Canis lupus familiaris: one gene and its partners. The protein of the gene in region 1 interacts with the protein of each later gene in a biochemical or structural test. Links are inferred from orthologs where the notes say so. Each region holds a gene or a part of one and is shown on either strand. Other genes may lie near its edges.

Region 1 (4,137 bases):
TGTCCGCGACGGCAGCGGCTCTTGTTCCGATGCGCGCGGACGCTGCCGGCCAAGCGGGTTCCCGACGACCGGCCGAGCTCCCCTGGGAGCCTCCACGCGCGGGGCGACCAGAAGCCCCGGGGTGCGTGTGCGCGTGCGCGTGCGCGAGCGCGTGGAGCGGTTATGCCGAAGCCGAAGCGACACGCCACAGAGTCAGGGTCTCCCTACCGGAAACGCGTGTGGGGTGAAGGCCCGAGCGCCGGGCGCCGGCGGCCACTGTGGAGAGAACGCGCGCCCCCGCGCCCCCGCGCCCTCCCGCCCGCTCCTCCACAGCCCGCAGCGAGGCCTCCCGCTTCCGCACCGCTGACTGGGCGACCCGCCCGGGCGCCGTCCGCAGGCCGCCCGCCGCCGGCTCCACAGCGGGGCCTCCCCCTCGGAGTCCGCCCGCCGCCTCCGAGGAGCCCAACCTACGGCGCGCTCGGCGCCCATTGGCTCGGCGGGACGCTGCTCAGGGCGCAGGGCCCGCCCCCACGTCCCGAGGGCCCGAGGGCCCGTCCGTCGGCGGCAAAGGCGGACCCGATTGGCCCGCGCGCAAGCCAGTCAGACTCCGGGCCGCGGAGCCCCACGGCACTCCCGGCCGGCAGACATCCCGCCCCCGCCGTCCATTGGTTGGCTGAACCCAGCGCTCCCCCTTTACGAGCCCCCACCCCGCGCTCCATTCATTTCACACAATAACGGGCCCAATTGGAGTCAGTTCAACACCTCGTATGAGTAGGCGAGACGATCCGCCGCTTACCCGGAATCGAGACCGGCCACTCGCGCCAACGCCTCCCCTGTTCCTCTGTGGCGAGGCCGGACCACGGGACGCCGCCGCCGCCGCCTTCTGCGCAACGCCAACCGCCCGCCAAAACGGATCCTTCCCTGCGCCTGCGCGGCCAATCCTGCGACCGGACCCTTTCTCCGCCCATTACGCCTGCGCAGAGCGGGGCGCGACTCCCGCCACGACGCAGGCGCCGTAGAGTCGCCGCCGTCTCCCGCCCGCCATTTCACGTGCTCCAAGCGCCGAGCGGAACTGGTTAGTGCGCCTGCGTAAACTCGCCATTTTACTACACATGCGCCCGGCGGGCGGTCGTTTGCAAAAAAAAAAAAAAAGAAAAAAAAATCACCTGATAACCTCGTTCGTAATATATTAGCATTTACCGTGCTTCGCCAACTGAGCGGAACATAATTTCGGGGCGGAATGGATTGAAAATTCATTTAAATACCTTAGGTTCGTTCAAATATGAATGACTGGTTGACGAGCCAATCACAGTAATTAGGAATAATATTACCCGGGAACCAATAGACCTGAAGGGGCGGAGCCTGCGTAGAACGCCCAAGCGGATGACGTTGCGCAGCAGTGCGGGGCTATAGACCAATAGCAGGGGGAGGCTATCGCAAACATCCAATCAGAGACGCTCAGGGGCGGAGTCTACCAATGCCTAAAGCGAGGAGGCGGGATAAAAAAGCGAGGCCGAAGGTAGGCTGGCAGATACGTTCGTTAGATTACTCCTTTCTGCCCCTGGACGCCGCCGAGTAAGCATCGTTAAAGTCTCCCCTCCCACCGCCGTCATGTCTAAGTCAGAGGTGAGTAACACGCTGTCTCCCGCCTAGTTTCCTTCCTCACTCCTTCCCTGGGGCCGGTAGGACGCGGCCTGGCGTGGCCGCTCGCGCCAGCCCGTTCGGCAGCCCTTCGGGGGCCGCCAGGGCCTTCCCCTCCCGAAGTTGAGGTCGCCATTTTGTCCTCGTCGTCGCCATGAGGCCGCCGTCCTGCAGCGCTTGGCTGTGGCGCCGGGCTGCGCCCTCCCGGCAGAACTCGCGGGCGCATTCGACGGGTTTTGTTTGATCGTGTCTCCGGGAGCGAGTTTCTTGCGGAGCAGCCGTAGTTCCCCGCCGCTTCGGCGTCCGTCCAGCCGAGTCCTTTTGTTGCGCGTGCGTCGGAGGGAGAGTCGGGGCGCATGCGCCCGCGGCCTCCCAGCCCCCACCGCTCGGTCCCCCCCGAGGGGAGAAGCACGTGGCCTCCCGTAACCCGAGGGAACAATACGTGCCTTGTAACGCTGCTGTCTAGGATTTTCCTCCCAACGGGACGGGGCTGGGCGTTGGGCGCGCCACGTAACGAGCTGTGTCCCCGCTCCTAGTCTCCCAAAGAGCCCGAGCAGCTGCGGAAACTCTTCATCGGAGGTTTGAGCTTCGAAACGACCGATGAGAGTCTGAGGAGCCATTTTGAGCAATGGGGGACGCTTACGGACTGTGTGGTAAGACGTGCCGGAGACGGAGGGCCCGGGAGCGAGGTGGCTTCCGCCGCTCCGACGGCGGTTAACGGGACTGGGGCGGAGAGCCGGCCGGCGCCGGAAGGGGTGGTCCCAGCCGCGGAGGCGCTCCCGGGAGGAGATGCACGTGTGGCGGCCCCGGGGAGCCGGAGGGCCTCGTGGGCGGGCGGGGGGGGGGGGGAGGGGGCGCGCTTTTCTTTTTTTTTTTTTTTTTCTTTTTCTTTTTTTAATTTGTAACTCAGCGTGAGAAGTTCCGGGGTTCTCCTCAGTATTCAGGGAGCTCACCTTTCAGGTAATGAGAGACCCCAACACCAAGCGCTCCAGAGGCTTTGGGTTCGTCACGTACGCCACCGTGGAGGAGGTGGACGCGGCCATGAACGCCCGGCCGCACAAGGTGGACGGAAGAGTCGTGGAACCAAAGAGGGCTGTCTCCCGAGAAGTGAGTGAGGGTTTATTCTTTCCTGGGCAGACGCAGAAGCGGGCCGCCAAGGGGACCTCGCGGTTAGGGGTGGCTTGGTCGGTGTAAATAACGGAATTGTGTCCGTCCCGTCCCCCCCCCCAACAATAGGATTCTCAAAGACCCGGTGCCCACTTAACTGTGAAAAAGATTTTTGTCGGTGGCATTAAAGAAGACACTGAAGAACATCATCTAAGAGATTATTTTGAACAGTATGGGAAAATCGAAGTGATTGAGATCATGACTGACCGAGGCAGTGGCAAAAAGAGAGGTTTCGCTTTTGTGACCTTTGATGACCACGACTCTGTAGACAAGATTGTCAGTAAGTGTCGGGCATGCTCTTTGCTACGGCTTCTGAAATCCATGTTACGTTCTAAAGCCTGAGGTCATGTTCTCTTGGAATTTTTTTTTTTTTTTTAGTTCAAAAATACCATACTGTGAATGGCCACAACTGTGAAGTAAGGAAAGCCCTATCGAAGCAAGAGATGGCTAGTGCTTCGTCCAGCCAAAGAGGTGCGTTTGTTCAGTTAATCCTTGCACGTGAGGATTAATTAACTGAGTGATTCTCCAATCCGTATAATGTAACATTTAAAACTTTTGTGTTTTAAGGCCGAAGTGGTTCTGGAAACTTTGGTGGTGGTCGTGGAGGTGGTTTTGGTGGGAATGACAACTTTGGTCGTGGAGGGAACTTCAGTGGTCGAGGTAAGTTTACCACTCAAAGTTAACAATAAATTTATACTTTGATTATCCCCAGGTCCCTTTTTCCTCTGCAGCAGATTAACTCCTGGCTTAAATTTTATCCAAGTGTAGATCTGGCTTTTTACTAACCAGAAAGTTAAATCATCAACATTGGGATCATTTTTGTAGCACAGGAAGTATCTTTATAGAATTCTACTTTAAAACAACATAGAACACGTATACTCTGTACACTTCATGGTGGTTTAAAACTCTACTTTCTTTCAGGTGGCTTCGGTGGCAGTCGAGGTGGTGGTGGATATGGTGGCAGTGGGGATGGCTATAACGGATTTGGTAATGACGGTAAGTTTATTTTAAGGAATATATAGGTGGAGTTTCGTTTGGCAACCTTTAGACTAGGTTAGTAGAGCTAAACTAGTGCATGATAAACAGCTCTGATAACAGCATGCTGTGAGCAGGCTTTTAGGCATTACACTTGCACAGGTTTTGACTGTGAAATACTTTTGTCTTATTGAGAAGAATTGTATTCTTGTAGGTGGTTATGGAGGAGGCGGCCCTGGTTACTCTGGAGGAAGCAGAGGCTATGGAAGTGGTGGACAGGGTTATGGAAACCAGGGCAGTGGCTATGGCGGGAGTGGCAGCTATGACAGCTATAACAACGGAGGAGGCGGAGGCGGCTATGGCGGTGGTAGTGGT
Region 2 (3,500 bases), on another chromosome or scaffold:
TTCGCCCCCCAGGAAGCCAAGCCATCCCAGCTGAGGATTTATTGGCGTAAATGCAACCATATAAAAACATAAGTTATGAAAAACACAGTCACGATGTGCCCCGCCCCAGCCCAGGCCCCTAAAACCCCCTTCTGAGGGAGGGAAGGAGAGGAAGGGGGAGCCCCCAAACTGCCTAAGAATGCCGCAGCCCCTGGGCCCGTGCAGGGCCGGCCCGGGCGGGGTGGGAGAAGCCGGGCGCCGCCTCAGCGCATTCGGTAGTCCGTGGAGCAGGACAGCTCACACAGCTGGCCCTTGAAGTCCAGATCGATGGTGAAGTCCAGGTCACGCTGTGGGGAGAGGGCACGTGTGAAGGGGACCGGACACGGACCGGGCAGATATCTGGAACTGTCTGAGTCAGGCAGCAGCAGGGGGAGGGGGGCCAGCCCTCCCAGAGGCTCCCCAGAGACCCCACATCAGGCTGGAAGACTCCACACTGTTGCTCCCTCAGCATGTCCTCAACCCTGCCTCCCAGTGACAGCTCCTGGGACACCCTCAAACGCACCTGGAACCCAGCCAGACCTGCCCCCGCTCAGGGCAGAGCCCAGCTGCTCTGTCTCTTGCATAAAGACTGTTCCCCATCAAAAACATTCCCATCAGTAAAGCAGAGGGAAGTTGCTCCTTCCCTCTTTTCTGAGAAGCAAACCTCTCTTCCAGCACACTTCCTCCTCCTCGGCAGGATCCACTGGTCCCAACCCCACTGTCCGCACGTCCTCTGCTTCCAAGCTTCCTGGAAGCCGATCTTCCTTCCGGGCTCCCCACCCCCCAGTGCTCCCTGGAAAAGCTTGGGCCAAGGTCGCCAGTAACCCTGATGACTTCTGCCCTCAGGCCTCCTGGCGCAGCGCAGCACAGCGCAGCGCCCCAGGCCCCCAGGTTTCCTCCCTGCTCCTCTAGGCCTCTCCTCCTGTTGCTTTACTCTGGGGTTTCCCACACTCTGTTACTATGGACACCGGGAGCCAGGGTCCAGGACTCTTTGTTGTCCTGTGCTGGATGCCAATAGCATCCCTCCTCCAGTTGTGTGAGAATCCAAAATGTCTCCAGATAGCAACAGATGTCCCGGGGCGGGGGGGGCACTGGTGGCAGCAAAACTGCCCCTGGTGGGCAGTGGAGGACCTCTAGCCTCCCTTAGAAAAGGGGCATGGCTTTGGGGCACCCCCTCCACCACACCCGCAGTTTGGCACTCCTAGCCTGGGCCCCTGCCCTGGACTCCAGGTTCCAGACCCTCTGCCTCCCATTGACTCAGGGTCTCCCCAGGGGTGGCAGACTCAACTTGGCTGAGGGCTGCTGGGGCTCCAAAACAGGTCGAGAGAGGTGTCCCCACCTGAGCCCACCCCCTCACCCCCCAGCAGCGCCTCACATTATTCTTGGCATTGGGCCGCATGCCAATGGTGCCAAAAATTTCCTCGCCCGTCTTCACGGTCAGGTAGTCCTCCATGTAGAACACGGTCTGCTTCCAGTGCGTGTACGGGGACTCAGGGCCTGGGGATACAGTCAGATCAGCTCCCAGGCTTCCTGCCCACCCCCCAAGACCTTTATGGAGCCTTGACTGGGGTCCGCTGTCCCTGAATCCTTTTACCCACCACAAGCCTCGAAGAGGGCCTGCTGTCTATGGTTTCCAAGTAGGGAAATGAAGACATGACATGCTCAGGGGAGCCAGCAGAGCCTGCAGCACAGCCTGGGTCCCCAGTGTCCCCCTGGCTCCCTCCACTGGTTCCTGGTCCTCCCCCATCCCCCAGGCCCTGCCCCATGCTCACTGGTGGAGAAGCCCGTCCTCTTGTGGCAGCGGGTGAACTCGATGTTGAAGTAGGCCACCAGGGCGTGCACGTAGTCATTCCGCTTCACTTGCAGGCAGAAGGGGGAGGTGAAGGTCAGGTCCTCCACCTTGACAGTATAGATGTCCACCTCCTGCGGGACAGGCCCCGTGAGCCCCACTCCCCAACACCCAGCCCAGCATTCAGCAGAAAAGCCTGGGGGGAGCCACGCTGCTGCCCCCATTCCCTTCTCTCCCACATCCTAAGCCCCAGGCTAGAGAGTCCTACTTTCCAGAGCCCCTGCTTCTGCTTGGGAGAACTGCCTGGTGCTCCTCTTCTCCAAGGCCTGCCCGGGGCCACCCACACAGTGGCTCTTCTCGGGACTCCCCAACTTCCACCCTCCCCCCACCATAGCCCTAAACTCGACATACCAATCAACACAATAATTTTGAAACACTGTCAATTAGATCATGTCAAAGCCCTGCTCAACACCCTCCGAGGGCTCCCTGGCGCCCACCCTCCCAGCTGTTCTGTGTCCACACGCTCTAGACTTCCTCCTCCTCCACCAGGTTTGGGCCGCCCCTCACAGTCAGAGCAACCCTAGGATTCACCCCTCTGTCCAGCTCCCAGTGCGGTCCCAACCCAGCACATGCCGGACACCAAGGGGCTCATGAACTGGTCACAACAAAGGATTAACAGCAGCCCCCGTGTGTATAAACTCACTCTAGGCCTTGGGCTTCCTGCTCTTTGTGTGCTGGCAAAGGGTCCTAGCTGCCTGGCTCAGGGACACCCCTCTGGAGTGCTTCTCCCCCGGAGCAGGGCCAGCTAGTCCGGTCTTGGTCTTGCTCGCTGGGGGCCTGGAACCACCCGCCAGGCTTAGCTCACCAGGCTTAGCTCGCAATGAAGCAGCTTCCCCAGGCCTCTAGCGCCACCTCTAGTCACAGGCTGGACTCCCAGATCTCAGGTAGGAACTGAGGGACCTGATGTCTTGCTGGGGTCAGGTGGTGGGCCTTCTTTGGTTCCAACCCTGGGGACCCCAGGCCACAATCACCGCCCCCCTCACCTTTATGAGGCAGGCGTTGGTGACCAGCTGCTTGGGGTCTACCACGTCCACCAGGGGCTCCTTGATGGCCACGTCTTTGATGCAGGACATGTCAAAGCCGTACACGTTCTCCCACCCTGGGGTGTCAGGCAGGGAGGAGGGGTGAGCCCATTAGGGGTGCCCAGGCCAAACCTGCCTCCCCCCCACCTCAAGCTGCTATGCCCCCCTCCCCCCCAGCTCACAGTGAATCTTGTAGTCTTTGTACTGCCGGTCTTCGATGGCTGTCACATACAGCGTGGCTCGGTCCGGGAAGATGAGGCCATCAGGTGCCTGCCAAGGGGTCAGGTGAGGGTGTGAAGGGGGGGGCCTTGGAACCGTGCCCCCAGACCACAACAACTTGGGTCTCTATCCCCACCCTGGTCTGAGCCACCGGGCTTCCTACAATGGCCTCCTAGCTGGTTCCTGGCTTCTGCCCTCATGCCCACATCTATTCTCCACATGGCTGCCAGGCAGCATCCAGCAGCACCAAAGTCAGGGCTGTCCTTCATAGGTTCTAAAGGCTCTGCAGAACCCTCCCTGGCTCCTGAGAGGAAAACTAGTCTCATGGTGGAGAGGACAGGGAGGCACTCAGGCCCATCCACTCCTTCCCTTCTGTTTTCCCTGCTATTCCT
Region 3 (3,500 bases), on another chromosome or scaffold:
AGCTGCTTTCTGAAGTCATGAAAATGTTTCTAAAATTAATTGTGGTAATAGATGTACAACTCTATGAATATACTAAAAACGATGGAGCTATGCAGGGTTTTCTTTAAGATTTTATTTTTCTAAGTAATCTCTACACCCAACATGGGGCTCAAACTCACTCCTCAAGAGTCACATGCTCCACAGACTGAGCCAGCCCAGTGCCCTGAGCTAGACACTCCAAATGGGGAAACTGTATGGTATGTGAATTATACCTCAAAACTGTTGTATAAGAAATAATCAAAGACTGGGGCACCTGGCTGTCTCAGGTGGTTAAGCGGCTGACTCTTGATTTTGGTTCTAGTCATGATCTCAGGGTTGTGAATCAAGCCCTGTGTTGGGCTCCATGCTGGGAATGGAGCCTGCCTAAGATTCTCTCTCCTTCTGCCCTTCTCCCTGCCTCTCTCTCTTCCCTTCACTAAAAAAATAAAAATAAATAGATCAATTCCACATGGATTAAAGAAAAACTAAAAACAAATCCATAAAAGCGTGAGAAGTTCTTTAAGCAGACACAAAATGCAAAAACCATAAAGCAAAAAACTGATGAATCTGGCAAAATCAAACTCCTGAACCTCCTCCATGCAAGTGCAGACTTGGTGAAGGTGTCAGTGTGAGAATGAAGGCCTGACAACTGGCTGGGGCACAGGTACCAGCCAGCTATGTTTCAGCCTAATGCCTGCCTTCCAAAGAGTTACACATGGATGAGCAACGCAGCCAAACAGCTGAGCAGGCGCAAGACAAACCAAGAATTACTGTCAAACTGAATACTTCATTTGGGAATGAAAAACTTTTGTAGATAATTTCTATGGACTCTGAGTCCCTGTTTCTCCTGCAAAGTGTGGATCTTTTTGCCAAGATAACTTTTGTGAAAGTTACATTCCTGAGCCATGAGCTGAGGTGATCAGGTAGAAATGCTATTTAAAGGCATACTATTCCAGAAACTGGTGGATTGCAGCCAATTTTGAATCCCAACCCTTATTATATTTCCAAGGATTGAAATTGTCAAACTGCACATGAATCATGTTCTAAGGTACTACTGTGTGAATAGTGCTTTGCTACTGTGCACTGTCCCTTCTTTCTTTAAATTCTCAGGTATGGTTTTGGCTGGGAAGACCTTGTTATATTAACAAATGTAACAAAATGGTTAACTAACTTAAAAAAAAAAACCAAACTTTCTAAGTCACCATAAAATAAGTTAAAAGACAAAGAGATAATCAGGAGAAACATATATATCATGAAAACAGGCCAAGGTTTAGTATCTGGAGTATGTTAAAAAAATTCCTATAAATTTGGGTGCCTGGGTGGCTCAGTCGATTAAGCATTTGCCTTCAACTCAGGTCATGATCTCAGGGTCCTGTGATAGAGCCCCACTGCCGGCTCCCTGCCCAGTGGGGAGTCTGCTTCTCCCTCTCCCTCTGTACTCAAGCTCTCTCTCTCCCCTTCTCTCTCAAATAAATAAAAAAAAAATCCTTTTTTAAAAATTCCAACAAATCAATTTTTTTAAAAGGACAAATAGCCCAATTAAAAAAATGGAAAAAATATAAACAGACAATCCACAGAAACAAAAATATGAACATTAATCCAAATATAAAATAAAGATACTCAAAAAAAAAAAAAAAAAAAAAAAAAAAAAAAAAAAAAAAAAAAAAGATACTCAACCTCACTGGTAATCAGAAAAATACAAATTAATGCAAGATGTCATTTTAGCAAAAATGTTAAAAGATCAGTAATACAGAGTACTACTGATGATATGGTACACTCATAATGTTGGTCAGGACACAAATTAGCAAAACTTTTTTGAACTACCTATTATAAGTGTGCATAATACACTGAGAGCCTATAATTCTACTTTCTGGGGTGTTTGTTTGTTTGTTTTACTTTCTGGTATTTATATCAAGAAGTTGCCCGTAGAGACATCTGGGTGGCTCAGTGGTTGAGCGTCTGCCTTTCGCTCAGGGCGTGATCCTGGGATCGAGTCCCACATCGGACTCCCTGTGAGGAGCCTGCTTCTCCCTCTGCTTATGTCTCTGCCTCTCTTTCTGTGTCTCTCATGAGTTTCTCCCTCTGCCTATGTCTCTGCCTCTCTCTCTCTGTCTCTCATGAATAAATGAATAAAATCTTAAAAAAAAAAAAAAAAAAAAAAAGTTGGGATCCCTGGGTGGCGCAGCGGTTTGGCGCCTGCCTTTGGCCCAGGGCGCGATCCTGGAGACCCGGGATCGAATCCCACGTCGGGCTCCTGGTGCATGGAGCCTGCTTCTCCCTCTGCCTGTGTCTCTGCCTCTCTCTCTCTCTCTCTCTGTGACTATCATAAATTAAAAAAAAAAAAAAGTCATCTGTGAACAAGGATATATGACTGTTCATGCTAGAATAAAACCATAAATAACCAAAATGTCCATTGATAAGGCAGGGGACGGACAAACTGGAGTACATTCCTACAACGGAGTGCCATGCAGCAGGACAAAAGATCAAGGCATGTGAAAGTGAAAAGATTCCCTGAGAAACACTGTTGAATGAAAGAAGGGATAGGAAGTAGGAAAAGGGTATTTATATAGGGTGGCTGCAAAGGCCTAGCCCAGGTGTCATTTGTACAAGATGAGGGATACACATAAGGGAGAAAAAGCATTCCAGACAGAGAGAACAGCAAGTGCAAAGGCCCTGTGCCTGAGCAACAGCTCTCTGAAGGCCGCAAAGAAAGACCCCAGAGACAATCCTGGCATTGGCAATTCTAGGGTTACTGACCAGATGTGACCTCCAACTCACCCCCTCACTGTGCTGCACCACATTGCTAATGTTATGCAGAGACTGGAAGTTTTGGGTGTTCACAGAGCCAAACTCCACAATCTCATCATCCACTTGCAGACCCTAAAGAGAGAAGAAAAACAGAAAATCAGGGTAGAGGTTAAATGTGCTTCTGGTGTTCTTTACCCTTTCATATCCAATTTAATGTCCAGGCCAACAGCTTGTTTTCTACTGGGAAGAGTGGTAGGCACAAAGCAAAGAGGTCAGGGATTTGGCTACCTCACACAGGAGGAGGTGGTAGATAATTGGGTCACCTGCTCCCGGGGATTCCTTCTAGGACGATCTAGTAAAAGGGGGCCAGTTCTATCTGATGTCTGATAAAAGCTGGCAGTTGTACAGGCCTTAAAGAATGTGGGGAAAAGCCAAATGCTATCTTCTGGGGTCAGGGGCGAAAAGAGACAGGCTAATCTGGGCCTATTTTGTTCAGGGGTCAGAATTTAGGCAATTTTGCTCTACAAGTCCCCACATGCACAGACACCAGGCTGACCCAGGAATAGTGTGACCCTTTCATCCTAAGAACACAGATCACAATTCATTCATTCCTTCAACTAATATTTGTCATGGGCCTATTACAGCTCTGTGCTAGAGCTGTGGATAGAGAAGTAAAACAAAGCTCATATAGAACCATCCTGTAATCATTAAAGTCAGTTGGCAGGACCTGGATT

Evidence for each region. The genes of interacting proteins can lie anywhere in the genome.
Region 2: of the proteins of HNRNPA1 (region 1) and PRMT1, one has a biochemical effect on the other in vitro, tested with the Homo sapiens proteins (3 studies listed by BioGRID, with this or other methods). The link is inferred for Canis lupus familiaris from reciprocal best matches to the Homo sapiens genes HNRNPA1 and PRMT1.
Region 3: the proteins of HNRNPA1 (region 1) and PSMD9 interact in a test that uses a peptide from one of them, tested with the Homo sapiens proteins (3 studies listed by BioGRID and IntAct, with this or other methods). The link is inferred for Canis lupus familiaris from reciprocal best matches to the Homo sapiens genes HNRNPA1 and PSMD9.

Annotation. Positions count from the first base shown.
Region 1 is NC_049248.1:45,637,809-45,641,945, forward strand, and holds the start of HNRNPA1 (heterogeneous nuclear ribonucleoprotein A1), read left to right. Parts: upstream 1-1,337; 5' UTR 1,338-1,590; coding exon 1,591-1,605; intron 1,606-2,156; coding exon 2,157-2,273; intron 2,274-2,580; coding exon 2,581-2,727; intron 2,728-2,856; coding exon 2,857-3,067; intron 3,068-3,165; coding exon 3,166-3,258; intron 3,259-3,354; coding exon 3,355-3,447; intron 3,448-3,708; coding exon 3,709-3,783; intron 3,784-3,976; coding exon 3,977-4,135; intron 4,136-4,137. UniProt on the Homo sapiens protein: Involved in the packaging of pre-mRNA into hnRNP particles, transport of poly(A) mRNA from the nucleus to the cytoplasm and modulation of splice site selection.
Region 2 is NC_049222.1:107,526,227-107,529,726, forward strand, and holds the end of PRMT1 (protein arginine N-methyltransferase 1), read right to left. Parts: intron 3,160-3,500; coding exon 3,072-3,159; intron 2,967-3,071; coding exon 2,851-2,966; intron 1,942-2,850; coding exon 1,791-1,941; intron 1,516-1,790; coding exon 1,394-1,515; intron 327-1,393; coding exon 243-326; 3' UTR 25-242; downstream 1-24. UniProt on the Homo sapiens protein: Arginine methyltransferase that methylates (mono and asymmetric dimethylation) the guanidino nitrogens of arginyl residues present in proteins such as ESR1, histone H2, H3 and H4, FMR1, ILF3, HNRNPA1, HNRNPD, NFATC2IP, SUPT5H, TAF15, EWS, HABP4, SERBP1, RBM15, FOXO1, CHTOP, MAP3K5/ASK1, MICU1 and NPRL2.
Region 3 is NC_049247.1:7,617,071-7,620,570, forward strand, and holds part of PSMD9 (26S proteasome non-ATPase regulatory subunit 9), read right to left. Parts: intron 2,899-3,500; coding exon 2,797-2,898; intron 1-2,796. UniProt on the Homo sapiens protein: Acts as a chaperone during the assembly of the 26S proteasome, specifically of the base subcomplex of the PA700/19S regulatory complex (RC).